Linked DNA regions of Astyanax mexicanus. The protein of the gene in region 1 purifies or fractionates together with the protein of each later gene. This does not show direct contact. Links are inferred from orthologs where the notes say so. Each region holds a gene or a part of one and is shown on either strand. Other genes may lie near its edges. The genes, in order: bsg and gnpat.

Region 1 (12,189 bases):
TTTTTCATGATTTTTTTTTACAGCCTGGTAGCGTTAGCTAGCTACCGATTACAGAATCATAATAAAGGACTTAGCTATTCACTTCAGGTCTATATTATTCGATTTTTATTAATTAAATATTAACATCCCAGAAATTCCTGAGAAAATAAGGCTTATGATAACAGAATACATTTTGACACATCAAATTTAATTAACAAAAAGTCAAAGAGGAAAAGCCAAAATGCTAACTTCAGTGATAAGCTAGCTAGCTGTTCAGCTAACTTTAAAACAATAAAATATTAGGTTTGTGTACTATATATAATATATTATAAGCACAACTAACCTATTGTAAGTGTAAATGAATACTAAACAAACATTTATTTCCACATTGATATTATTTAGCTCAGATGTGCTAATGTTTAGGTGTAAGGTAATGATTATTTATGAAAAGGTTTTTAAGTGACAGCAATGATATGAAGCTTCTAAACAATGTACACTGTTACAACATAGGTTGGCGTTTTTAAAATGGTTGCAACAAAGGAAATAGAGGGGAAGTAAGGAGACCAGACCCGAAGTAGATGTTTAAAAAAAATCAGTGTTTTTTTTTATTTTATTTTAAAAACTGACAAACATAAATCTTCAAACAATACATCCATTGCCTACATAAAAGCAGAAAAGATTATAATGCCAGTGTCAAATAAATATTACACTCTCACAGCAGCCTCCTCACTTTGGTGGATTTTTTTTTCTTCACCAGTTCTTCTTTTTGTTCTTTGGACATACTAGGGATTAGAGTATACCCCTCCCATTAAAGCACTTCCCTTTCCTTCTTGCCCTGTGCACTTGATCTCTGACAGAGGAACCCAGAAACCTGACCAGAATCATCTGAGGGGATTTATCCTCACTTGTTAGTCTGATATTTTAATCTTCCACTGCAGATAATGAGCTCTCTGTCTCCTCAAGCCTTTGCTGGATACAGTGGACTGTACTTTATAATTTCATTAATAGTTTTCTTGACTTTAATCTCTAGGCCTACCCCTGGACGCCCTCTGGTTCCTGTAAAGATATAGGTGTGAAAAGGGGATTTAGAAAATACTCTTAATGCACTTGTATCTCATCAATGGATAATAATGGAACTATTAACGCTCTCTGAGCAGTGATAAGGTTACACTTCAGTGTGAATGCGCTGGTGTGTTTTGAGATAAATCTGTGAAGTAAAACTCTTCCCACAGTCTGAACAGTGATATGGTTTCACTCCAGTGTGAATGTGCTGGTGTTTTTTAAGAATACTTAGTCTAGAAAAACTCTTCCCACAGTCTGAACAATGATACGGTTTCTCTCCTGTGTGAATGCGTTGGTGTCTTTTGAGATGATGATTAAAACTCTTCCCACAGTCTGAACAATGATACAGTTTCTCTCCAGTGTGAATGCGTTGGTGGTGTTCTAGAATACCCTGTGTAGTAAAACTCTTCCCACAATCTGAGCAGTGATAAGGTTTCTCTCCAGTGTGAATGCGCTGGTGTGTTTTAAGATAACTCTTATGAGCAAAACTCTTCCCACAGTCTGAACAATGATAGAGTTTTTCTTCAGTGTGAATGCGCTGGTGTTGTTGCAGGTTACCCTGTGCAGCAAAACTCTTCCCACACTTTGAGCAGTGATACGGTTTCTCTCCTGTGTGAATGCGTTGGTGTGTTTTAAGATAACTCTTATGAGCAAAACTCTTCCCACAGTCTGAACAATGATAGAGTTTTTCTTCAGTGTGAATGCGCTGGTGTTGTTGCAGGTTACCCTGTGCAGCAAAACTCTTCCCACACTTTGAGCAGTGATACGGTTTCTCTCCTGTGTGAACCCGCTGGTGTTGTTGTAGATTACTCTGTGTAGTAAAACTCTTTTCGCAGTCTGAACAGTGGTGAGTTTTCTTGCCAGTACTTTTCTGCATTTGTCTGCTAGGTGTAGGAGAGGATATTGGCTGAGTATTGGAGATTTTTCTGGATTCCATCTTCTCCCCTTCGTTCAGCAGATTAATATTTTTGTGAAATCTTCTGAATCTGTATTTGTGAAGCTAAATTATATCCAGGTAAATTCTATCAGTTGACACCAGAGGCATGAGAAGACTTGAAACAGGATAGTATTTATTTCTGAAAGAAACAAAGAAAAAGAAAGCCCAAGATCAGAAAATAAAAATACAGGAGTATCTGAATTAGTGTGGCATTTAACATTTTTTTGTAGGTTTGTAACCTCACTAAACTCTAAAATACACAGATTGTTAAAGTGAACTGCAGTAATTCAGCTGCTACAGTAATGAAATACATCACCAAGTTTCCAAAAACAGTCTCAATGAATAACTTAAAATGAAGTTCAAACATGAGAGTTTACAGAAATCACAATAAAAAGCAGCATTTATCACAAAGGTAATATTACATTTTCTTTCGTGAAGTTTGCTAAGACCTTATATGTTCTATTTAACACACAGCTGCCCCGGTCACATACACATTATGACGAATGTTTTACATCTGGATTTAGTTGAAACACCTCAACTAAAACTTCAACAATCTTATGAATCCAAACTCAACACCTAGCCTACATATATAATGAAAACAATATTTTACACACCAACTACACACTGATGGAATAAACTGGAAATACTACTGTTTTTTTTATTTTATTTTTTTCCCCCACAAATATACACAAATACAAATACAGTGCCCTGCAAAAGTATTGAAAGTGTGAGGCCAGTCTTCTTATCCAAAGGATCAACATTTCAGCTTTTATTCCCAGGTATTTACACTGGATACACTGGATCCGACACACAGTTTAGAAGACAGCAGTTGTTGTCTGATCAAAAATTTCCATGAACACACTCCTAAACCTGAAAAGTCTTACCAGAAGAGCTGACGCTGTTAAATCAGTAAAGGGGCCGATTATATTTAAACCTATGGATTAAGAAAGGGATGTTTACATGCGTGTGAAGGAAGATGAGTGATTTCTTTTGGCCATATAGTGTATATTATATTAAGTAACTCCATTAGAAAACGTTAATGCGAACTGTTATTTCTCTGTTAGAAGGCTTAAAAGTGAGCCACCGGTTAACAGAAGTGCTCCTGAGTAGGAAGAACCCAAAAATACGCAAAGACTGTTTACTAAACAATCACACTCCTGAATGGTTCTCACGCTTTATAACTGCCCCCTATTATCCCACCATCTCTTAATCTACCATCTCAAAATCTCCCACTAACCAGCTCTCAGTAAGAATTCCATTTAACTCAAAAATTAACTAGTATTTTCCACAAATTACTGCACATTAATTCCCACACCGTGGAACATCTACATACATGAATATTTCTACACTCACTACATCTAAATGCTGAATATCAAATGATATACTCTACACATAGTTTATTAATTGATAAACTATAATAAAGATATAGTTTATGTACACAAACAGACTCTGCTGTGGAGAAACACGTGAACATAAAGGAGATATCTCTACAGTTAGCATGAAGGAGTTTATAAACAATAGCAGCACAATTTAAGCCTTTAATCCAGCAGACAGGAGAAGTATTCCCTCAATATTCCCTCAGAATGCAGCAGCACGTTTGGTCTTCAACCAACCAAAACGGGCACATGTCACTCCGCTGCTCATTGAGCTCCACTGGCTACCGGTTGCTGCTCGCATCAAATACAAAGTGCTTACAATCGCCTACAAGGTGATGACAGTACAGGCTCCTTCCAACCTGCACTCGCTCCTGAACTAATTCTAACCTCATCTCCTTCTTCCTCTTCTCTACTCCTCTATCCCATTATTTCCCTCTGACCTCCTTAAGGCCCTATATATAGATGCTTTATTTTTAACTTCTATTATTTTTGTACTTAACCTCTTCTATTATTTGCACTTCAATATTGTAAGTCGCTTTGGACAAAAGCGTCTGCCAAATGTAATGTAATGTAATGTAATAAAGCAACTGTCAGGGGTTGTCAATAGCCCCTTAATCTCCTATCCAGCTTAAATAAAGCAGAATAAAAGTGTTGATCAGAGAAAACTAGGAGAAGATGATCCTCCAGCTCCTGGGTGAAGCTGTTGTGCATAATGTTCTAATTGTGTCTAAGAGTAAGCTAAATGTAGAGCAGTGTTTAGGTGAAGAGTGGAACATCTCCATACCTGCAGCAGGTGAGCTGATGGTGTTTCTCCAGCAGAGCAGTCTGAGCACAGAGGTGTGGAACTGCTGATCACAGCTGGATCTTCAAACCTACCTGTCATAATAAGAGACGTTAAGCATATACCGGAGGTAAATGGAGGGCTTCAGTAGAGCTAGTAGATATGGAGCTACTAGTTAATGCAGCTGCTTCTTAGCTGAACTTTGCGACCAGCTTTTAACTTACAACGCAGCGTCCAAATCTGAGAACTCCTCTTCTTCTTCTTCTTCTTCTTTCGGGTGTATGGTGGATGGCAGACCAACTGAAGGCACATTACCACCACCTACTGTTCTGAGTGTGAAGTGTGATTTCACGAAGAAAAGTAACCAACGATCATTCAAAATATAAAGGTGGAGGGAAAATAAACTAAAATAAATAAAACGGAAAAGAAAGCAAACAAGAAAATTGTATATAAGGTCAAAAATACTAATAGCTTTCAAAAGAAAAGAAAAACAGTTTGTGTGCCCTGTTCCATAAGAAAATAATCTCTTCATAGAAAAATCTTTGTGACCCTTTTCTTTCAGAGCAGAAAACTTTCCATCATTTTTTTTTTATATTTTAACAAAACAGAACATGGACCACTGTTTCCCTCTATGCTCAATTGTGACAAAGCCCCGTAGAGTGTTTCTGTATTACGTGCAAAGTTTTTAGAAACCTTGGTGTTCTGGTTGATGACCAGCTTTCCTTCACACACCTTGTGGCCTCAGTTCCTCGATCCTGCCGCTTTGCGCTGTATAACATCAGAAAAACTGGAGGATTTCTAACGCAACAGGCCACCAAAATATTGGTGTAATGTCATGTAATTTAATACAAAGAAACATTCAATATTTTGTAACCCACCAGGAGCCTAGCGAGTATGTTTTCCTCTGTCCGACCGTACCCTCCACTCCCATCCAAACCAAATCTTGGCTGAAAAGCAAACACCAGTCATGTTAAATGTTAAGGCTCCAAAAAATGCACTCCGCCATCCATGGGCGTGGAAGTGGGGGGAAAAGTGGACCTAACTACCCAGTATGGAGAGGGGCTCATGAAAATCCTGATTTTTTTCTTTCATGTTCTTTGTGTACTGGCATGGATAGGGGCCCACTGCCATTGACAGTATACAGGGCCCATAGTTTGCTGCTACACCCTGCTCCTCTCTCCCTGGCTTCCTCCCTCGTGCTTCTCTCCAGTGTGTTTGTCTCGCTTCCCAGGATAGACTTTGCTTATCCTGCCAGTTTACACCTGTTTTTGTTAAATTTACACACACACACACACACATATATATATATATATATATATATATATATATATATATATATATATATATATATATATGTGTGTGTGTAAATTTAACATTCATTTATAAGTTGCCTGACCAGAGGAGGATGGGTCCCCTCATGTATGTTATCCTTGTGATAGTAAAAGGTACATTTGAGTCTTGGATTCTTCCCCCCAAGGTTTTTTGCCTCCAACAGAGGGAGTTGTTTGCCTCTGTTGCTCACTGGGTTCTATGTTCAATGTGTTGTCTGATTCCTGTGGTGACAACAGCAAATGTCCATGTGCCCCACACACATATCCTACAGGTCCAATATGCAGCATACTTTAAGTCATGGGACACAGTACAAAATCCTGTTTATTGATGTGTGGCATATCAGCAGATGTGTACAGTATATAACACCAATAAATTGAACTAAAATAAAAAAAGTGTTGGTGCTGTTAACAGAACTAGAGCATGGCCTGCATATGGAACTGCCAGGTTTGGATGTAGAGCAGCAGGTGGAGCAGAGTGGTGTTAAGCTCTGCGTGTTCATTTGAAAGGGATTTTGCTTTTGGTTGAATGTAAAACATAAAAGATCCCACTCATCCTGATCCCTTCACCCTCCCCACACTGACCTCCCCACAAAGGCGCAGTGGGACATTCTGTTATTTAAAGTGGATTGGAAAAGCCAAGCATCCACGTTAATGTCTCTTCTGAATGCAGACTTGCTCCTATCCCTGCCCCCCTTCCGTGATAATGGAATAATACAGAATAATACACTCTTTAATCAACTAAAAGCCCGGCCTACTGACCTCAAAACAAACACCTCCACCATGTGTTGCAGGTAGACCCAGATTTTATAGCTTGAAGAAAGTAAGTGCAGAGGGGTCTAGTGGTCAGTGGAGAAACTAAGACTTTAATAAAAAATTAACTAACTTGTAGAACAATTTGCTGTGATTAATCACAATCATTGCACGCTGACGCTTTTAATAATGTATATTTAAATGTAAAATAAAAGAATCAATCAGTTTAATTATTTTATTTTCCATGTTTACAGACACACTAGAACTAATTTATTTTTTACTTAACACAACAGAAAGTACCATTTAAAATGTTTGGACACACCTCTTTTCCTTCATTGTGATTTCTTTCTTGAACTGAATGGAATTATTTTGTAAACAGAAATGTTAAAGAAACCAGAATATGTTTCATACTTTAGAATCTTCTAAGTAGCACATTAAGTTTTAAATATAGATTTGTACACAGATTTTGTATTTTCTCAGTGGCTTCATGAAGTAGAGTCACCTGGAATAGTTTTCTCAGTGTCTTGAATGAGTTCCTGGAGGTGCTGAACAATAGTTGCTGCTTTTCCTTCAGGCTGTGAAGCTCCAGCTCATTCCTAATCACCTCAAATCACCATCTCAGTTGTTTAGGTTTAGTTCAGGAGATTGTGGAAGACAAACATTTTTCATAGGACAAACATAATAATGCTTTTATGTCTTTAATATTAATGCGGAACTGATTAAATCTTTGCACCATGAGTGGCATAAAAGTTACCCAAATGCAGTGGTGGAGGTAAACATGCCAAGATGCATGAAAAATGTGATTTAAAAAAAAAACAGGGTTATTTTACCAAATATTGATTTATGAACTCTTAAAACTTTAGGAATATGATCATGTTTTCTTTGCATTATTTGAGGTCTGAAAGCTCTAAATCTTTTTTTTTTGTCAGCCATTTCTCATTCTCTGCAAATAAATGCTCTAAATGACAATACTTTTGTTTGGAATTTGGGAGACAAACTGTCCATAGTTTATAGAATAAAACAACAATGTTCATTTTATTCAAACATATACCTATAAATAGCAAAACTAAGAAACTGATTCAAAAACTAAAGTGGTATTTTATTTTTCCCCAGATCTGTATATATAAACAAACACACAGTGAAACAAATTAGCTAAGCTGAACTAACCAGCTACAAAAAAAAAAAAAAAACATGACGCAGCGAGACTGGCCGGACGTGGTGACGCACCATCTTTCCATGTGTACGTGCGCGTTCTCGTGCACGTCAGGATCAAATAGAGGACGCCGGAGCTGCGCCTCAGTCCGAGCCGAGCTTTTAACGGAGCGGATCCCCGGTGAAGTGCTGTCAGTGATAAACCCACAGAGAGGCAGAGATGATGCGGCTGCTGGTGCTCAGCGGGCTGCTGCTGCTCTGTGTGGACCAGGCGTTTCTGCGGACAGGTAAAACCCGCAATCTTACCACTTAGCACACATGCTAACACAGCTAACTAGCTGTGTTTTTTTTCTCTCTCTCTCTCTCTCTGCGAACGTAACATTTATAATATTCAGCCGAGACACGGCGTTTTCAGCAGTGGCTGTGGTTATTTGTGTGAATAAAGGAATTTAAATTCGTTTTGGAGCTGCGACCGGTTTTTTTTTCCTCAAACTATTTCTGTCAAAGTCGTTAGCTGAGTGCTAAGCGTTGAGGCCGCTAGCTAATGCTAGCTATGCTAGTCTCGTTTTTCAAATAAACCTCTCAAGCGTTAGAAAACCAACGCTCCCTAGCTTAGCTTGTTAACTATAAAACGGGTTTAAACTCCGTTAAACAACCTAATACATAGTTAGGTTTCATTTAATTTAGTTTATTTGTGTCTTGTTTTACTGACAGTGCCGTAATAACAGCTTATTTAAATATAACTCTTCATACCTCATAGTTTGTTCCTTAGCTCAGTAATTTCGCTTAGCGTTAACTATCTTAACAGAGTATCTCGTCTGCTCTGTAAATCATTAATCTGAATTAATAACTGTAGTTTAACTCTTTTTATTCTTGATAACTGAGCATTAGTTTTGTGAGCTCACTTTACCTTTTACCTTTCTACTTTTAACTGTTTTGGCTAATCGCTCTGCCTCAAAATTTGGTAATTAATCTCAGACTTACTATTTAAATTGAATTGATAAAAATACGTATGAAGTATGAAAGTAAGTTAATCTTTTCTTGATAGTTTTAAACTGCCTTTACGTTGAAATCATAAAACAAATGGGGTCAAAGTAAACCACATACTATGGGATTTGTACATTAGTATTTGGAATTAACAAGCTCTGATAGACTTTGTCATCATCTAACTCATTGTTCCTCTGTTCAATCTCAGTTATTTTTTTGTAAGTTAATTTTACTGACGACTGTTTTCATACAGGTGTTTTACATACACAAAATCTGTGTATTGTTCGCTGTAATTATTATAACAATTTTAGCAAATTGTTTATAAAATAAATAAGTAAATATAATGTATCTATCTTATTGTGGACTATACAAGTGAACTAAGAGATTAACTAATAGGTTCATAATAAACCTCTTTTTATAACTATACTATAGTTTTTATGAGCTAACTTAAATGACCGGATAGTGTTTTCAACAAGTGTTTAAATCACTCAATATCTATGTGTATTTTTCATAGTTATTTATCTAATGCTTGGTCTCAAAATGTTAACATTTAACATATCTGCTTATGTGTCTTTTATTGGATCTTAAGCTTATTGTTAAGGTTTATTTCTCAGGCTAAGGTTAGGACAGGCTAAAACTAATATTTCACCATGTTTAGAGTTTTGAGACCATGCTGGAATTTCACTTTAAACATTTAAAATATTCTGCAGACATTCTCGTTATTAATATCGGTACATTAGTGTGGAATGTATAGTTAGTATATAGGATTGTAAACAGCTCTAACCTGAGCTGTGTGTTTCTCTTGTCTCTGTTTTAATAAGTGTTCTCCATTAAGGGGGATTGATTAGATATTTTGCTGAAAGGTCAAGGAGTTTTTCTTCCCCACTTTATTTATTTTTACAAGGCATATATTTAGTTGTAATGCTGTTAGGGATATTTTATATCTCCCAATACTGTTTAGAGTTTGGTTGTCTTACTTTTTTTATAGTGTGTCTGAATGTTAAGGGTGTGGACAGTAACAGTGGTGTGTAGGTACGTGACTGTCTGGGTTGTGTTGTTTTTAATAGCAGTGATTTTAGTGTTCACTGGTTGTGAGCTTGTTCACAGTGGCTTTTGTTGTTTTTGCCTGTAGTAAACCAGTAACCAGTTGAATAAACAGGGTTTCAGTGAGTGAGATTTGCAGTCAGCAAAACCGGTTCAGACCAGTTAGCTGTGCCCATAGGCCTCGACATGATGGCTGCTGTGAAGCCTCTGATTTGCTGTGAATTGATCGTGGCTGTGATCACCAGGCTACTGCCTGCCTGCTAACTCCTCTCACCACCCCCACCTCATCCATCCCATAACAGTCAATTATCACTGACTGATACTATAGGGCAAGTTATTTTGCATTTGTTTGTGTATCCTGTGTAATAAACAAGAATTACAGTCAATTACGCAACAGTCCAGCCTTCCGTAGCTCTCCGTAAGTCACGTTACTACTTTGTCGTTAGTCTGTAAAGGATTTAAGATAAGCTTATTATAATGTTCCAGCAGTTTTAATGGGCAGTGCATAGAAATGTGAGCGTGAACTTACTGAACTGAAGTGAATCTTCTTAAATACTGTTCCTCCTGTTTTTAGGTCACATGGCAACTCCAAGCTGTAAATTATCTCATTTGATTTGAATGCAAATGAGAAAATGATATGAAAATATCAAGTGACTACTGTTACGTGTTTTTGTAGCTATAGTTTATGTAATATGTCAGGGGTGTTCAGTATGCCCCTAATATGATGTCACAATTTTCAGGGTACATTAGCAACAATATTCTTAATAAATTATTACTTATAACAATCTTCCTCATTTGACAAAACAATTAAATATTGTATTAATTGTATTTATACAGTACTAAAAATACACAAAGCTTATTACTAAGCAACAAAATAAATACTAAATAGAATGCTGCTATAATCAAGTGGAGTGTTTTTTATTGCTTAAATATTATAAAGCAATGTACGATAAGATATGGAACACCCCTAATACACAATATAAATGTATCTAATGGAAGTGAATGAGCAATTTCATTAAATTGATTTATTTTCAACAATGCATATAGAAATGAAATTGCGTGCCTCATACTGTAATTTATTTATCCTCTGAGTAGAAGCTGAATGAATGTCAGTGCCTGTTAATCTACACCTAATCAGCTTCAGGCTCAGTTAGAAATAGTACCACACAGTGGGAGGCTACGTGCTATTCTCCATAGCTGAGGTAAGCCTACATTTAAGCCCAGGCCCTCCATTACAAAGTGCAGTGTAGTTATTATGCTGTTTGCTGGTCTGCCCTTGTTTTGGTGTAGATTTCAGGTAGGCCAGATGAAACTTGTTTTAAGGTTGAGATTCAAAAACATATTAGAATGGGGCTGGGCAGTATGTGTTTGTTTACTACAGCAGCATTGGGGGAATCAGCCAAAAGAAGACATTAGTGCAGTCCACTACTCTGTAGAAATAAGTGGTATTAATCATATAATGCATCAATAAATTACGCTACGTGTCACTTACTGGATTTTTGTTTGATCACTATGTTGTCGCAGAATTTATTGCAGTAAACAATAGTTTTGTCATTTCAGGATCACTTAATCCACTTATCTAAAGAAAAAGTAATAGCATGTTAATATAATTACACCTGTTTGAAGGGAAATTATTGTTGTGTGGTAGATAACTTTCATCTGTTTCACGACTGGCTAAAATGTAAGTAACTGTAAGTAAAAAAAAAAACACTCTTTGGTTTGAAACCACATTGGAATTTCAATACAAACAGTTACATTATTGTGACATAATTTTGCCCCTGTTGCCCAGTCCTAGGTTATGGCTGATTTCTTTAGTTGCCCTGGTTATTCAGTGGCCTCTTTGCCTGGAGAATTCCTCGGAAGGCAGGCGAATGGGCCTCATGGCTGAGTGAGCCAAGCCACAGCAGTTCCACATCAGAATTAAAATTAGATTGTCCCTGGAGCCTTTAGCTCGGCACAGCTTAGAAAATTGGGTTAGGAAGAGCACACCGGTATTTGTCCTCAGTTGAATAGGCTTTCCATTTTTTAATTGGAGTGACGGCAGTCTGGTGACGGCCATTTTGCTGTCCGAGTGCAAGAAAGTGCTTGAGGGGCTGATTCTCCTCACGTGTCCAGTTCCCTCTGAGTGATTGTGTAATATACAGTGTTGTAATTCACACTTCTGCTGCTCTCTCTTATTGTTAACTGTTGGAGTGCAGCCTGAGTTTAGTTTAGACCTGGTGTTAGGCTGTTTGTAGGGCTGTGTAGAATCTGTGTACCTGTGACTTTGACCTACTTGTTTGTGGGATCAGAACTTGTCCCCAGGCAGCTGGATGCTGCTCCTCTTTGACTGTATTATAATGTGTGTTTTGTAATGTGTGATTGGATTTCTGTAGATCTGTTTGATGTGATCTTTGGTGAGTGTATGTAGTCATTAATGTCTGATGGTTCTCTAATGATCTGGTTCTCTGAGTGGGGGTAGTAGGGGGGAGGTTTAGGGTGGGTGTTGTTGTTTACTACTTAAAAACAAGTTCACAGCCTGTTCTCAGACTTTGGACCCAATGAAGACTTTGGCTAAAATCAACCAGTTTTGAGTGCTTTGTGGTGTTTGATAATTTGTGAGCTCTCCAGATTTAATGTTAGGACAAGTGGGCATAGAGTGGAAATGTTTTGTATGAGGGGATAAATCTTACCTTGGCAACACGAGACAGGACAAGATGTTTGTTTAGTCAGAGCTAAAATATGTTAGCCATCTGAATGTGACCTTTGATGATGGCTGTACCAGTTTAAAGAGCAAAAGATCAGGTTAGT
Region 2 (12,980 bases), on another chromosome or scaffold:
TATGTTAGCATAGCTGTACATAAGAGTAGCAGCAGGACACCAAGTGGTCCAGCGGTTTAAACCCCTGCCACTATGATTGGGAGATTGTTGTTTCGAATCCCGGTCATGAAGCTTGCCATTATCTGCCAGAACCTTGAGAGAGCACAATTGGCCTTTCTCTCTCTGGGTGGGTAGATGGCGCCCTATCACCTCATCAGCACAAGGCGTCTGTGAGCTGATGTATCGAAACCGAGTCACTGCACTTTCCTCTGAGCGTGCTGGATACTCAGCAATGATGCATCATAAAAAATAAATTAATAAATGAAAGAATAGTAGCAGCTGTACTGTACACTGAAGTTTAGTATACTGTATATTGATCAGAAGCTGAAGAAGCAAACTTCAAGTACTACAACATATATTTTCAGCCTGACTACATTTGCGTTTGTGTTGCTGTTCCTGTACAGGGAAATTCTGCCGATTTTTGAAATTTCTGCATTATGAAATGACTCCTGTACAACCAAATTAGAGCATAGTGTGTTTGGTGTGAACTGCTCAGATCTAGAGAAATTTACAGAGTGGTGTTGAAATGAACCGGATGCCTGATATCTGAGTTTAATGCCACTAAAAGCTCCCTTACATAAAGTTATTACACAAAATGATTATGAATACACTGCTTTATTATTCCTTAAGTGTTACTTCAGGGGATGGATTTAGAATGTTGACTGGTGTAGAAGTTGTGAGGTGTTATCTTGTGAGTGAGCTTGAACACGGAACAACATGACAAGGTGTTGTGAATTATCGTATTTGGAGTCTATTTTGGAGTAAAATAGTCAGATGGATCTGACCATTCTTTTTCTGAAGTTGTGCAGGTATTTTGTTCACAACCACCCCCGGTGAACAGAACAGTTTTCAGTTTCTGGCTAGAATTGTCTGTGCAACTCTAGCAGAAACCACATCCACATTCAATGCAGGAGACCCCACACATATCTTGCAAATCAATGCTGAATCATTTATCTTCCATATGCAAAACAATGAAAAACAATTAACCATTTCACACCAAACCTCACACTGAATCTGTAACATTTCAACCACTGAGCTATGCAGAAATTTGAAAACATGGGTGGAGTTTCCCTTCAGAAAACATTGGATTCTCGTGTATTATTTATTTTTATATGTACATTACAGTAAACTGAAGATCTGTCTGACTCTGCAGTCCATGATAGACCACGTGTGAGGACCCTACCAGGTTCAAAAAAGATCTTTTTCATCTGAAACATCAGACAAAGCACATGCACGGCCCTGGGGAGCCGCGTAACCTCTCTTTGTACTGCGCCACAACAGAAGTAGGCCATTAATCTCAACACAGTTGTGCTGAGCCCTCTAGGGAAATACGAGTGTGTGCGCGTGTGTGCGTTTTAGATGCTGTGCTGCTTCTTTTTTTTCTAAAGCTAGTGTATGTGGTTTCTCCTTTCCTCCTGCCAATGTGAATGTTTTGTACTTCTCTGTGGTTTGTATATTAAAAAAATAAATGAAAATCTCATCGTCATCAGTATTGTTTCATATACCATCCCAACTGTGATGTGTGTCAGCTTCACTTTGAATCTGACATACACACATGAAGAAATATATTTATTAACACAGGTATTTTTTGACAGCTAGCATTGCATATGCACTGTCTGTATCATACATGTCCTATCCAGTTCCCATATTCAACAACACTAAATAATTCACAGCTGTACACTGCATATTCCCATGATGAAGCAAGAACAAGCAGTGGAGCACAAGTCCTAGTCCCAGTCATATTCCAGCTGGTCAGTATTGTGGGAAGACCACATCATCGCTTTTTCACTTTGGTGTTTATTTTCTGAATGTCTTTGTTGCTCAGGACCAGCATGCCATTCTTAAATCGTCCGACTTGTCCCGCTGGATCGCCACCTGAGGAGCTGGGCTTGCGCTTCTCTGTCCTGTAAACCAAGCAAAAAATAAAAAAGTTCATTAAACACTGTTAAAACCAAGTATAATTTTTTTTTTTCAAGAAAAAACTATTTACTAACCCACAGTATTCGATTTGTTTTCAGTTCACTTAAGCCAACATGAAACTAATTTTGCCCCATTACATTTAAACATAACATTATCCTATACAAAAGTCTACCACAATTACATACTTTTGTTTTCCAGATTTTCCACTTTTCTTCTTCGTTCCCGTGGTGTCCTGGAAAATATCACAATTATTAGTCAACAAATGTAATGTTCATAAAAGAATTAAGACTTGTATTATCCACAATGTTGCAGTTCTTTAATGCACATACACACAGCATCTAACATACATATACTGTAGATCTCTAAAGGTAACCCTTTAACAACTTACAGGGTTCGTCTCCTCTTTTTCTTTCAACTTTTTCTCCTTCATCATCTGCTGATACACTTTGTAATTTACATATTCCTTCTTGGGAGGCTGGAAGGGAAAAGAGGGAAAACACAGTTGATTACACTTACCAGTCTACATTCACACTTTAGTGAATGTACTTTAATGAACTTTAATGAACACTTCAGCAGAATGCCAAACGTGTGGCAAAGTTTGGAAAGTATACTAGTAATAAAGTAATATATACTGATTGGTTGCTGCATACAGATCTGAAGGAGTGTGAACGTAATTTATGTTGAAATCAATTTTATTTATTTATAAATGTTTCTAACATCAGTCCAAAATTAACTGAAGACATTAAGGAGGAGGGTGATGAGGTAGAAGAAGTGGAAAAATAAGAATAGGATAAAATGGCATCAAGAAGCTGCTTGATTTTTGAAGTAAAATATTCTTCCAAATGCAAATTAAGAACAAGCTTTGTTTTAGACCTAATAAAATAAAATACTTGGATCTGTTGGCCAGTTGTTCTTTTCCACTTCCAATTCCAATGCACCTATGCATCTATGTTCATAATTACTTAATGTTTCTTATCTCTTTCTGGACTATTCATTTGCTTCCCTCAACCCCATTCATCAATCAAAAAAGACCATCATAGGACAACTTATATCCAGATATTATCTGAAAGGTGGCGCAGATCTGCCAATCAAACATGTCCAGTCAGCAGTGGTTCTGTGGCCAGCGGTTCTGAGCTAGAGGACAGTGGACACAAATTGTGCATCAACAGGTAGTTCTACAGTCACTGTACCTCGGCAAGGTGGAGCTAGTCTGATTCTAGGCTTATAATCTTTGGAGTTTGTCTTGTTTCTTGCTGTTTGTGATCATGAGGTCCAGAACAATAATTTACAACCCAAACACAAAAAGTGTTTCTAATTGGTCAGAACAGTGAGTGTGGATTTTACCTTACCATGGTGATAATTCTTCTGTCATTAGCTCTAGATCATCCAGTTATCTTCCAGATTACATAGCTGACCGAGCTTTCCATCTCTATTATGTAACTATTCTGATCATTTTTAATGATATTTTTAGATGTAATCGTGTCATTGATTTTAAAACAACAAATCAGAGGTTATGTATTTTAATTCATATATTTTAAACTGTAAACCTTCTACATTTTGATTTTAACAGTTAAAATTCGGACTAAGTAATTACTTTACCATACTTTATACAGTTGTGTAAAAAGCCACACATGGTATAATCTGATTACACTTTTAGAACTTTTGAGAACAGTGCACTGTTTATGAATGCAACATATCTACACAGTTCCACTATCGGTTCACCCCTACTAAACTTTTCTACCTTGTCATGACCCATAAAGTAATTATTCCCAACCTACCCTGGCTCCCAGCATAATGGCCCTGTCCTGTTCAAAAATTCTCTGCTGATGTTTCTGAAAGCCTGTGATTCCAAAGCGGTGCACCTCCAGTCGGGCCTGTGGATCAACAACAAAAACAAACAATTAAAGAAACAGACCACCCAAACCTGCCAAGAAAATGATTAAGCCTATTTAAAGAAAGAAATAGATGTTCACTGTAGAATTACTCACTTATTACTTACTGGGTGATTAAGTCCTAAACCATGTTTAATATATAAGATCCCTCAAGGTATGCATTATACAATGAAGCAGTAAAATAGCCTGAATTTTTCATTTGAAACAGTATTACCTTTTCGATGGTTAGCTCTTCATCTGGGTTCTTTTTCTTTTTGTCCTGTACTTGAGGTGGCTGGTGATAGACATAAAAGAGAACATGATGACCACAAATATACAAAACAAATCAGAATGGTTTATACCTTGAAATAATAACTTAAATCATGTGTTTTCTGCAAACACCTCACTAAATAAAAAATCTTTCACAGGTCTTCATTCATTTTGACACTTTTTTTTACCACTATATATAATATATAATACATTAAATAACCTAAATGTACAATTAAAAGTTTTTACTGAACATTTAACCAGCTTAAAGCAGTTCAATACATTCACCTTTGTAGTGCTATTCTAATCATACATTTACTTAAGAAGTGTAGTTTTAATCATAATCAGATCACAGTTTCTGTATCGATGCACCCCTCGTTAACATGATGACCCTGTCTTGTTCAAAAACTCTGTGCTAATGTTTCTGAAAGCATGTGATTCCAAAGTGGTACAGTTTTAAATCATGAAGCTACTTCAGCTGTGCTTTCCTGATGAACATTTGCCTCAGTAGTGCTACGCAAGTGTCATAAGTGAATTTTACACAGAGAAACAGAGTCAGTATTCTGATAAAAAAAAACAGATATTAAGGCTAAGTTAGCTAGCGAGCTCAGACAAACTTATTATCCTATCTCTAGCTCCCGTCTTTCAACTGGGGAAAAAAAACTGTTGTGGAAAGTTAATAAATGGATACTGTGGGAGAAAGGGGTGTAGAGTGAGGCTGCTGCATTAAATATTCCCATTTTAAAAAAATTATCTGTTTAAATTAACAATAAAATAAATTAATAAAAAAAAAAATCATGGTCTTTTTACTGATTTGGCCAAAGACAGAAAGTGCTTTTTTTTGTTGTTGCAATTTTTAGTGCATCACTACAATATATTGACCCCACCTTGTTGCTCCACCATGCTAGAGTACACTAGGGGTCATTAATCTTAGTCTTTGAGGGCTGGTGTCCAGCACACACTGGCAAATTTCCTACTCACACACCAAATAAACCTGCCAATATTTGTGTGTTCGAGTAGGGAAGCTTTTTAGTTCAGTGGCAGAATTGATTATATCTCGGCCTTCTTCAGAGGTTAATTCCTGGCTACAGTGCTGCTTTTTGGCTGGATACCCACTAACAACTCCAAGGAACACAGCTCTGCTTAATACTGTTGTATCTTAACTACACACACACCACTAGGTCAGTTGCAGCTGTGCTGAAAATTATCATCAAACCATATAAAGTTAAGTCAGCCGTAGTCATGTGATCAGAATCTGACCAATAATAAATGTGTTGGCCAGGAACTAATAAACTGTGCAACAGCAGCTGGGTACAACATAATGTGCACATAAAGTGGTCTGTAAGTGTACACTTGTTACTTACTTTACTGTCCAGTTCAGCAGGTCTTTTTAATTTGTTTTTCTTCAGTGGATCCTGAAATGTAACAATCTCTACATCTGATGCTATCGCTGGACTTTTGGACGTGGAGTCTGGATGGTTTGCTCCATTTGCGTGATTCAGATCTGCTGCATCTTTTATACTACTGATCTTATCCTCAGAATCCCCAAACTCCTCTGCAGTCTCATCATCTTCATCAGGAACTCTTTTCCTTGTTTTATCCTTTTTCTTTGATCGATTTCCCTTTGATCCATCTCCTAGCCAAGCAGAAAAAGAGAAAGTGGGGTTATTTTTTGCTTATGCTCACAACTGTAGTTCTCATTCTCCAGGCCAGAATAACACTCACAGTAGAATGAGTCTAGAATGATGATTCCCTTTTTTCTTTTTTGCTTCCAGATCCACTTTAGCTTCAGCATCAACACAAGTAAGATTACGGAAAACTGCATGTAACTTTAAACTGCCGGAGCAGTTCAATTATTAGGATGCCCTGCATTAGTGAAGTGTATTAGGAGATAAATTAAAACGGACTAGCTGTACTTATATCACAGTTCACTTTTCAATCTTGATGTAGTTGAGGGGATGAGACATAATGAACAAAGTTAATGAGCAAATGTGTATTTTGTTGTGATACAACTTTCCTAAACTGATAACAGATTGTATGAACTCTCTCTTAGTAAGCCTACTTTTTATTTTAGCTATGCAGCTACTATTGTTATTCTAGATGTAATCTTTAATAATAATTATAATTCCTTAATAATTAATATATAGATCTTGAAAAGCATTTTTTCTATATATGTGTATAGTTTTGTTTTATATCAGTTGAATTCATTAATTAATCAGCTTACATTTTAAATGAATAATAAACAGTATGTATAACATACTTCTCATATGAAGAAAAATACTTAAAATAACCCAAACAACCAACTATACCATATAGAAAATAAACATATGCACAAAATGCCATTATAAATACGCTGGAAATATAAGAAAAAGTCCAAAATATGTTTTGAAACTTAATTTGAAAATATATGCAAATTAAAATGTAAAGATACATTTGAAATGTTTGCCTAAGTACATTTATTTTACATTTATCCATTTATTTACTTTCTGTGTGGGACAACAAAAATACAAACTAGGTAAGTTAGCTAGTTAACGACATAAATAAGCAATTCACGAATAAGACGACATTTAAATAATTGTCTAGCTATAAAATAACAAAGTAGCAACACAGCAGTAATACCAAAAACTAAAAGTGGTAAAAGTAAAATTATTACACAAATACACAGTATTATAATATACACAATGCATTAAATCAACAGTAATAATAAGAAAATTAAAAGCAGAGGACTTTTATAGTAAATATGTAGTTCTTGGTAATCCAGGTCCACACACGAAAATCCATTCCGGGATTTTGTTCCAGCTGCCAGAGCGAATCTGCTGCAGCTCAGCAATCCATTAAGTAGCTAACGCAGCTGGATTAAAATCCCGGGCTGGATTTCCACTTTCTGGACCTGGATTAACCAGCTCTAGCACTGATGGTACTGAATGAACGTTAGCCTGCCTGCTAGCTAACAGTCATCTGATCAGGTTTAATGAACACTAACCGAAATCATAGAGCTTATTCAGAACTCGGTCCAGAAACTCCTGATCCTCGTCTCCTCCCTCTTCCTCCTCTCCACGCTCTGCTCTGCTCCGCTTCATCTCCGCTCGGTCTGAACACGGCGCTCTCTGTATTTAATCCGCTCCGGATCTCTCTCACACACACGTGTAGTAAACACGCCCCGGCTCCCGTACTCCGCGCTCTGTCCTATACCGGCCACCGTCCGTCACCTCGCGTTTCACTGAAGAAGAAAATGGCTTTTAGTGGTGGGTGTTTTTAGTGACAACACCCATGTGGATCCAGCAGTCCGGTCACTGTTTCAGACTTTAGCAGCCTCTGAGTGCGCGCTCAGGTCATTCCCTGCAGGATAAACTCGCTCACCCATGATTTATTACAGACTGTGAGTCGGAATGGCTTCTAAATCTCTCTACTCGGTGAGTATCACACATTTATATACACTCAGACCCAGCTGTCAAACCAGCCTGACCCCTAAACCAACCTAACTAGATTCTTACAGCTGCTGAACTCAGTTTAACTACAGCTGCACAGATTAAATGATTGATCTTTTATCACCTCATATAGTTAGAAACACTCTGAGAGGGATTCCTCAATCGGAGAGATCAGCTGGAACTGTTTTAAGAGTTTAACGTAAGATTGTTTAGGGAAAAAACTCTTGATTTACACAGTCATAGTAATTTGGTCAAGATTGTTGTCTGAAGTTGGTATCACTTTATTTGGATGGTTCATTATAAATTCCTTATAGATGCTCAACTAACATTCAACTAAATATTAAACTAACATCCAACCGCATGTCTATTAAATGCAACTGAAAGTAGATGATTATCTACTGAATGTGTCACTACATCCAATAATTCTAATCTTCACATTTTAGGGTTAGATTTGGGTTTAGGATTAGATGTAGGGTTAGATTTCCTGTTTAGGGTAAGGTTTTGGTTAAGTTTAGATTTTAGTGTTATTCATGGTTGAGGTTAAAATTAGTGAATAGAATACAACAAGGACAACATAAATTAAAATAAATAAATAAAAACTACTTTTCTAAGTAAGAATTTTTGTGTCTTTGTGTTTGTCTCTTGTTAGCTAGCTTGTTAGTTAGCTAGCTAGTTAGCACTAGCAACAGCTAGTTAGTGTTAGCTCAGACATTTAGCTAACAAGGATACAGCATGTCATGATAATCATAATGCACTCCATATATCCAGGACTGAAGTAAAATAAATGATTCTGGACAGATAGAATCTTTCTCAAGAATATATTATTTAATAGGAAATGAGAACAGTGTGATTTGTTTCTTTTGCTACAAACAGCAAAAAAAGTTGTACCCTCATGATCTCAAATTAATGTCACAATATTCCAACATCGCCACACCTTTTGCTCCATCTCAGCTTCTAACACACCCAGCATTGCTTTACCCTGGTCCCGGGTCCTGCTCCTACTCCTAACACACCTGATCCTAATGCCGAGCTGTTCAGCTGATCAACAACCTGTTATTGATTTAAAGTGTGTGTTAAGGCAGGGAATGCGCTAAAATGTGCAGGGCAATGGGCCTCCACTAACAGGGTTGTGAAGCTTTTTAAGCTTTAGGACACTGTGTATATGTGGAACATATGTACTGGATTATACTGAGACTGGGTTGAGAAACTACATGATAAGTACTGCAATTCAAATCAACAGCCATAAAAATGCAAAATAGTACATTTTGATCCTATCACAGATATAGCTACAGTATATTGGTAATTATAGGGTCAAACAGTCAAGACAGTATTCAAAACAGCTTAATCTCTGTGATGTCTCTTCTAGCTATGCTGATGTTTCTATTTGTGGACTTGGTTTGAAGCTGTTTTTATTGCAATGACCTCTTGGGTGTCCGTTATTTGTAAACTACATTAATCTCATTAGCTTCAGTTCTAAAACTGGAAGCAAAAGGAAGCAAACTTTATATGCCAAACATACTTAACACATTAGAGCCCAGAACCGTTTCTAAATATTGATACCAAATTAAAAATTTAATTTATAATTTAAATTAAGTGAGCATCTTGTTAATGTTTGTTTCTTAATGTGAAAACATGACTCTAAATATTATCAATAAACACAGATTCACACACTGTCTTGTAATGATGCTCTCATGATGATTAGTAAATGTCGCTTAGGGACTTCATGAGTTAAAGTAAAAGACAGAATGCTGTAATTTCCACAGCTTTTAAAGGATCTGTTACATATATGTTGCAATTGGTTATTTTTGGATTAGACTTGTCAGCTAGCTACATTCAGTTCAAATGTAGCTTTTTTTTGTTTGATTTTTTTTTTGGAGTACATCCCTGTTTGCATGTTTCAGCAACCTGTTGCAAGCTTTTCAGATTTGGAACTGGTCCTGCAAAATTAAACTTACTACGTTTAAAAAAATTAAAGGCTGTGTGATGATGTATCATAAATTTCATAAAACGTTCTTTTTATGTATCTTCTGTGTTTTGTCCTGTAGCCCAGGGACCCGGTGCTGAAGAAGAGGGACGATTTTGAGGATATTCTTGAGGAGAGACGAAACTCCAGTGATTTGAGATATGCTCTCAGGTGCTACACACCCGCTCTCTATAAGGGACTGGTTCCATGCAAGGCCAGCATGCTCAAAAACATCGTCCTGCAGTCTGACTCTCTACAGTATGTCATCAGCCAGGTAAAAACACTCTACACAAATGAGCATCTGAAGTACGAGGCCGAAGCTGGCTCGGTTTGCCTTCAGTATACTGTAGTTATTTTTTTTTAAACAATGTACACATCACTCTCTGTAGGTCTCAGCAGAGTGTGGTGAGTCTCAGGAGGCGGTTCAGGAGGAGGCGTCCTTGTTACTGGAGGAAATGGCCCACCGCCTGCAGCTCGGCACCATCCGCTTTTTCGCCTTTACCCTCAGCAAGGCCTTCAAAGTACTCTTCCATAGCGTGTGTGTCAACGAGGAGGGCATTCAGAGGGTGAGTCCAGCAGCTGATGCCACTTTCACAGCTATATATAGAAGGCCAGATGCCCCAATCATGAAACACTTCTGCACTACGCCTGGGCTCTGTGTTTAGTCTAGTAAGCCAGTAAGAGTGTCCAGTTATATGAAGGATGATGGTGACTAGTTTTGTCCAAAGATAGCTGGTGTTGTTGCAGTTTGGGCTGTGTGATATAATAAAAAAAATATATATACTATATGAAAAAAATCAAATAAAGTTAGTAAGTATCTATAATTAGTTAACAATTATAAATTGTTTCTGATTTAATATATAGATTTAAAAATAAACACTGAAGGCAATTTCATACTTTGCAGTTTGTCACTCAGCAAACTGCACTGGATTAAATTAATTTGTAATGCTGCCCCTTTAATTATGATGATGACATAAAGTACAGAAGAATATACTCTGCTAAGTGTCATCCCCCCAAAAACCATTTACATTGTTTTAAAAATATAAATTAAATAAACCAATTAAATAAATTTAATAGATGTAAAATACATCTACAAATTACATTCATATTTACAATATACTGCCCAGTCCTAGTTGCAGTGCTTTATTGTGAAAATACAGGAGTGCACTTCATGAAACACGAGGAGCCGAGCCCCCTAATATTCATGCATAAATATATTATATAGAAAGTCAAGCACTTCTAATGATAAAAGCAATGTTGTCATATCTGCCGTCATTCTTATTTAAATACCAGTTATTTTAAAAAAGGTATTTTCTTCCCTAAATAAAGCATTTATTTTCCATGTAATACCACAGACAGGACACATAAAAACAAATATGAACCAAAAGGACCCTGATTGGTCAGGAACTTGGACTTGAACAGAGTTTATGTTTGTTAATGTTATCAGAAATCGCAAACATAACCTTCCCCACAGCAGGTTAAATGTACAGTATAACTGGCAAAAAATCCTTCATCATGAGACAGACCCCATTTCAGTTGTTTGAAGACCGCGATAAACTGATTACACAGAGAAATTCTGGTGAGCTCTTTCTTGGTTGAAATGAAAGCCTAATTGTTTGTGGAAGGTAGTTGTCATTTTTCCTGTTTCAGTACTGTTTCAGAATATTTCTGTGAGGTTTTTGAGTGATGTTAACAATATTAGTATATGGATCTATATAGATACAGTACCAGTCAAAAGTTTTTTTCTTTTTATGATTTTTACATGGTACATTTAATATTGAAGACTGTATTAAAGCTACACAGGAACACTTGTGGAATTATTGTGTAAACAAAAAGTGTTAAAAAACAGAATACTTTAGATTCTTCTAAATATTAACATTTTTCTTTGAGGACAGATCTGCACATTCAGTATTTTCTCATGAGGGAGAGTAACCTGGAATAGTTTTCTCAGGGTCTTGAAGGAGTTTCTGGATGTGCTGAATAATAGTTGATGCTTTTCCTTCACAATGTGAAGCTCCAGCTCATCTCAAATCACCTCAAATCACCATCTCAGTTGGGTTTAGGTCAGGAGATTGTGGAGGACAAACACTTATTGTTTACTGCATATTTCCATATGTGTCCTTAAGTGTTAGCATGTCTTTAATATTAATCTGAAATGTAGTAAATCAATTTAATAATAAATAATATTATTAATAAATAAAGAAAAACATTGAATGAGAGGGTGTGTCCAAACTTTTGACTGGTACTGTATATAGAAGTCAATCTGTAGAAAAAGAAATGATCAATTGCTGGTCTTTGCTCTGTTTTGTTTGAAGAGAGCTGAACCAGTTCCAGTTCCAGTACCATATCGCCACCTTGTGTACTGATGTAGCAACTGTCCAAAGTTCAGAGAAATTGTTGCTGAAACAGAGACACTACCTAAGAGGTGTAAACATCTTGCCATCTATAAGGCTATGTTCAGGTGCAATCCCAAATCTTATGTTGTATCTGTATCTTTATCCTCAAACAATCTATTTAGATCGTATCTAGTTCGATTTTAGATTTTAGATTTTAAGATCTAGTTTTGGATTTTTTACTCTGGACAACAAAAACACATAAATATTACATTTCAAAAACATGTTTGGAGGTGGTTTAAAATAAGTTTACAAATCAGATTTGTACAGATGCGTCTGTCTGGACAATCTGGACGCTCAAATCGGATATCAAAGTCTTCACAGTGTGACCTCTGGTCTGATCTCTTGCAAATAACAGTACTAAAATTCCCTTTAACTTTGAGGCTTTGCTGTGTTGATTATTGCATTGATTATATTTCTAATTTTTGTTTAATGTTTGTATTTTTATACCTTATTATACTATATATATATATATATATATATATATATATATATATATATATATATATATACTATATTGTACATGTATATAAAAGGTCTGTTCATGTAAATATAATCAAAAGAAATAATAAAACATCTGCTGAGATTACATTTTCTTGCTTGATAACCACTACCACTTTTGTGAACACCGCTGCATTTGATTGATGTTGGTTTACATTTTACTAATCAGTTGTATCAATCATTGTTTCCAGCTTCAGCAGGCCATTCAGGAGCATCCAGTGGTTCTTCTGCCCAGTCACCGCAGCTACATGGACTTTCTAATGATGTCCTACATCCTGTACACGTATGACCTGGCTCTGCCTGTCATCGCTGCTGGGATGGGTGTGTATCTGAATTTTGCAGCAAAATTATTAAATCAATTGATTTTTATTGTTTTTATTGTACTGTAACCCACTTTGAGCGATCTAACCTGAATTTAGATTGCTGCAGTTTCTTTGTTTTATTTTAGATATTGGGGGGTGAGGTTGAATGCTTTGGGGTTCATAATAATGACACCTTGATAATAATCAGTTAAGTGTGTTTGGTTCCAAAAAAATGCTGTGTTTTGTTACAGATTTTATGAGCATGAAGTTTGTTGGAGAGATGTTACGGATGTCCG

Evidence for each region.
Region 2: the proteins of bsg (region 1) and gnpat purify together in Homo sapiens (affinity purification with mass spectrometry; 3 studies listed by BioGRID and IntAct, counting the BioPlex papers as one, with this or other methods). This does not show direct contact. The link is inferred for Astyanax mexicanus from reciprocal best matches to the Homo sapiens genes BSG and GNPAT.

Annotation. Positions count from the first base shown.
Region 1 is NC_064423.1:16,790,760-16,802,948, forward strand, and holds the start of bsg (basigin), read left to right. Parts: upstream 1-7,469; 5' UTR 7,470-7,588; coding exon 7,589-7,655; intron 7,656-12,189.
Region 2 is NC_064408.1:45,653,901-45,666,880, forward strand, and holds the start of gnpat (dihydroxyacetone phosphate acyltransferase), read left to right. Parts: upstream 1-7,331; 5' UTR 7,332-7,486; coding exon 7,487-7,510; intron 7,511-9,570; coding exon 9,571-9,762; intron 9,763-9,877; coding exon 9,878-10,054; intron 10,055-12,573; coding exon 12,574-12,703; intron 12,704-12,935; coding exon 12,936-12,980. Other genes in the region: c1h1orf131 (uncharacterized protein C1orf131 homolog), read right to left, coding at 1,814-1,943, 2,145-2,191, 2,348-2,434, 3,738-3,833, 4,066-4,125, 5,462-5,733, 7,081-7,177. UniProt on the Homo sapiens protein: Dihydroxyacetonephosphate acyltransferase catalyzing the first step in the biosynthesis of plasmalogens, a subset of phospholipids that differ from other glycerolipids by having an alkyl chain attached through a vinyl ether linkage at the sn-1 position of the glycerol backbone, and which unique physical properties have an impact on various aspects of cell signaling and membrane biology.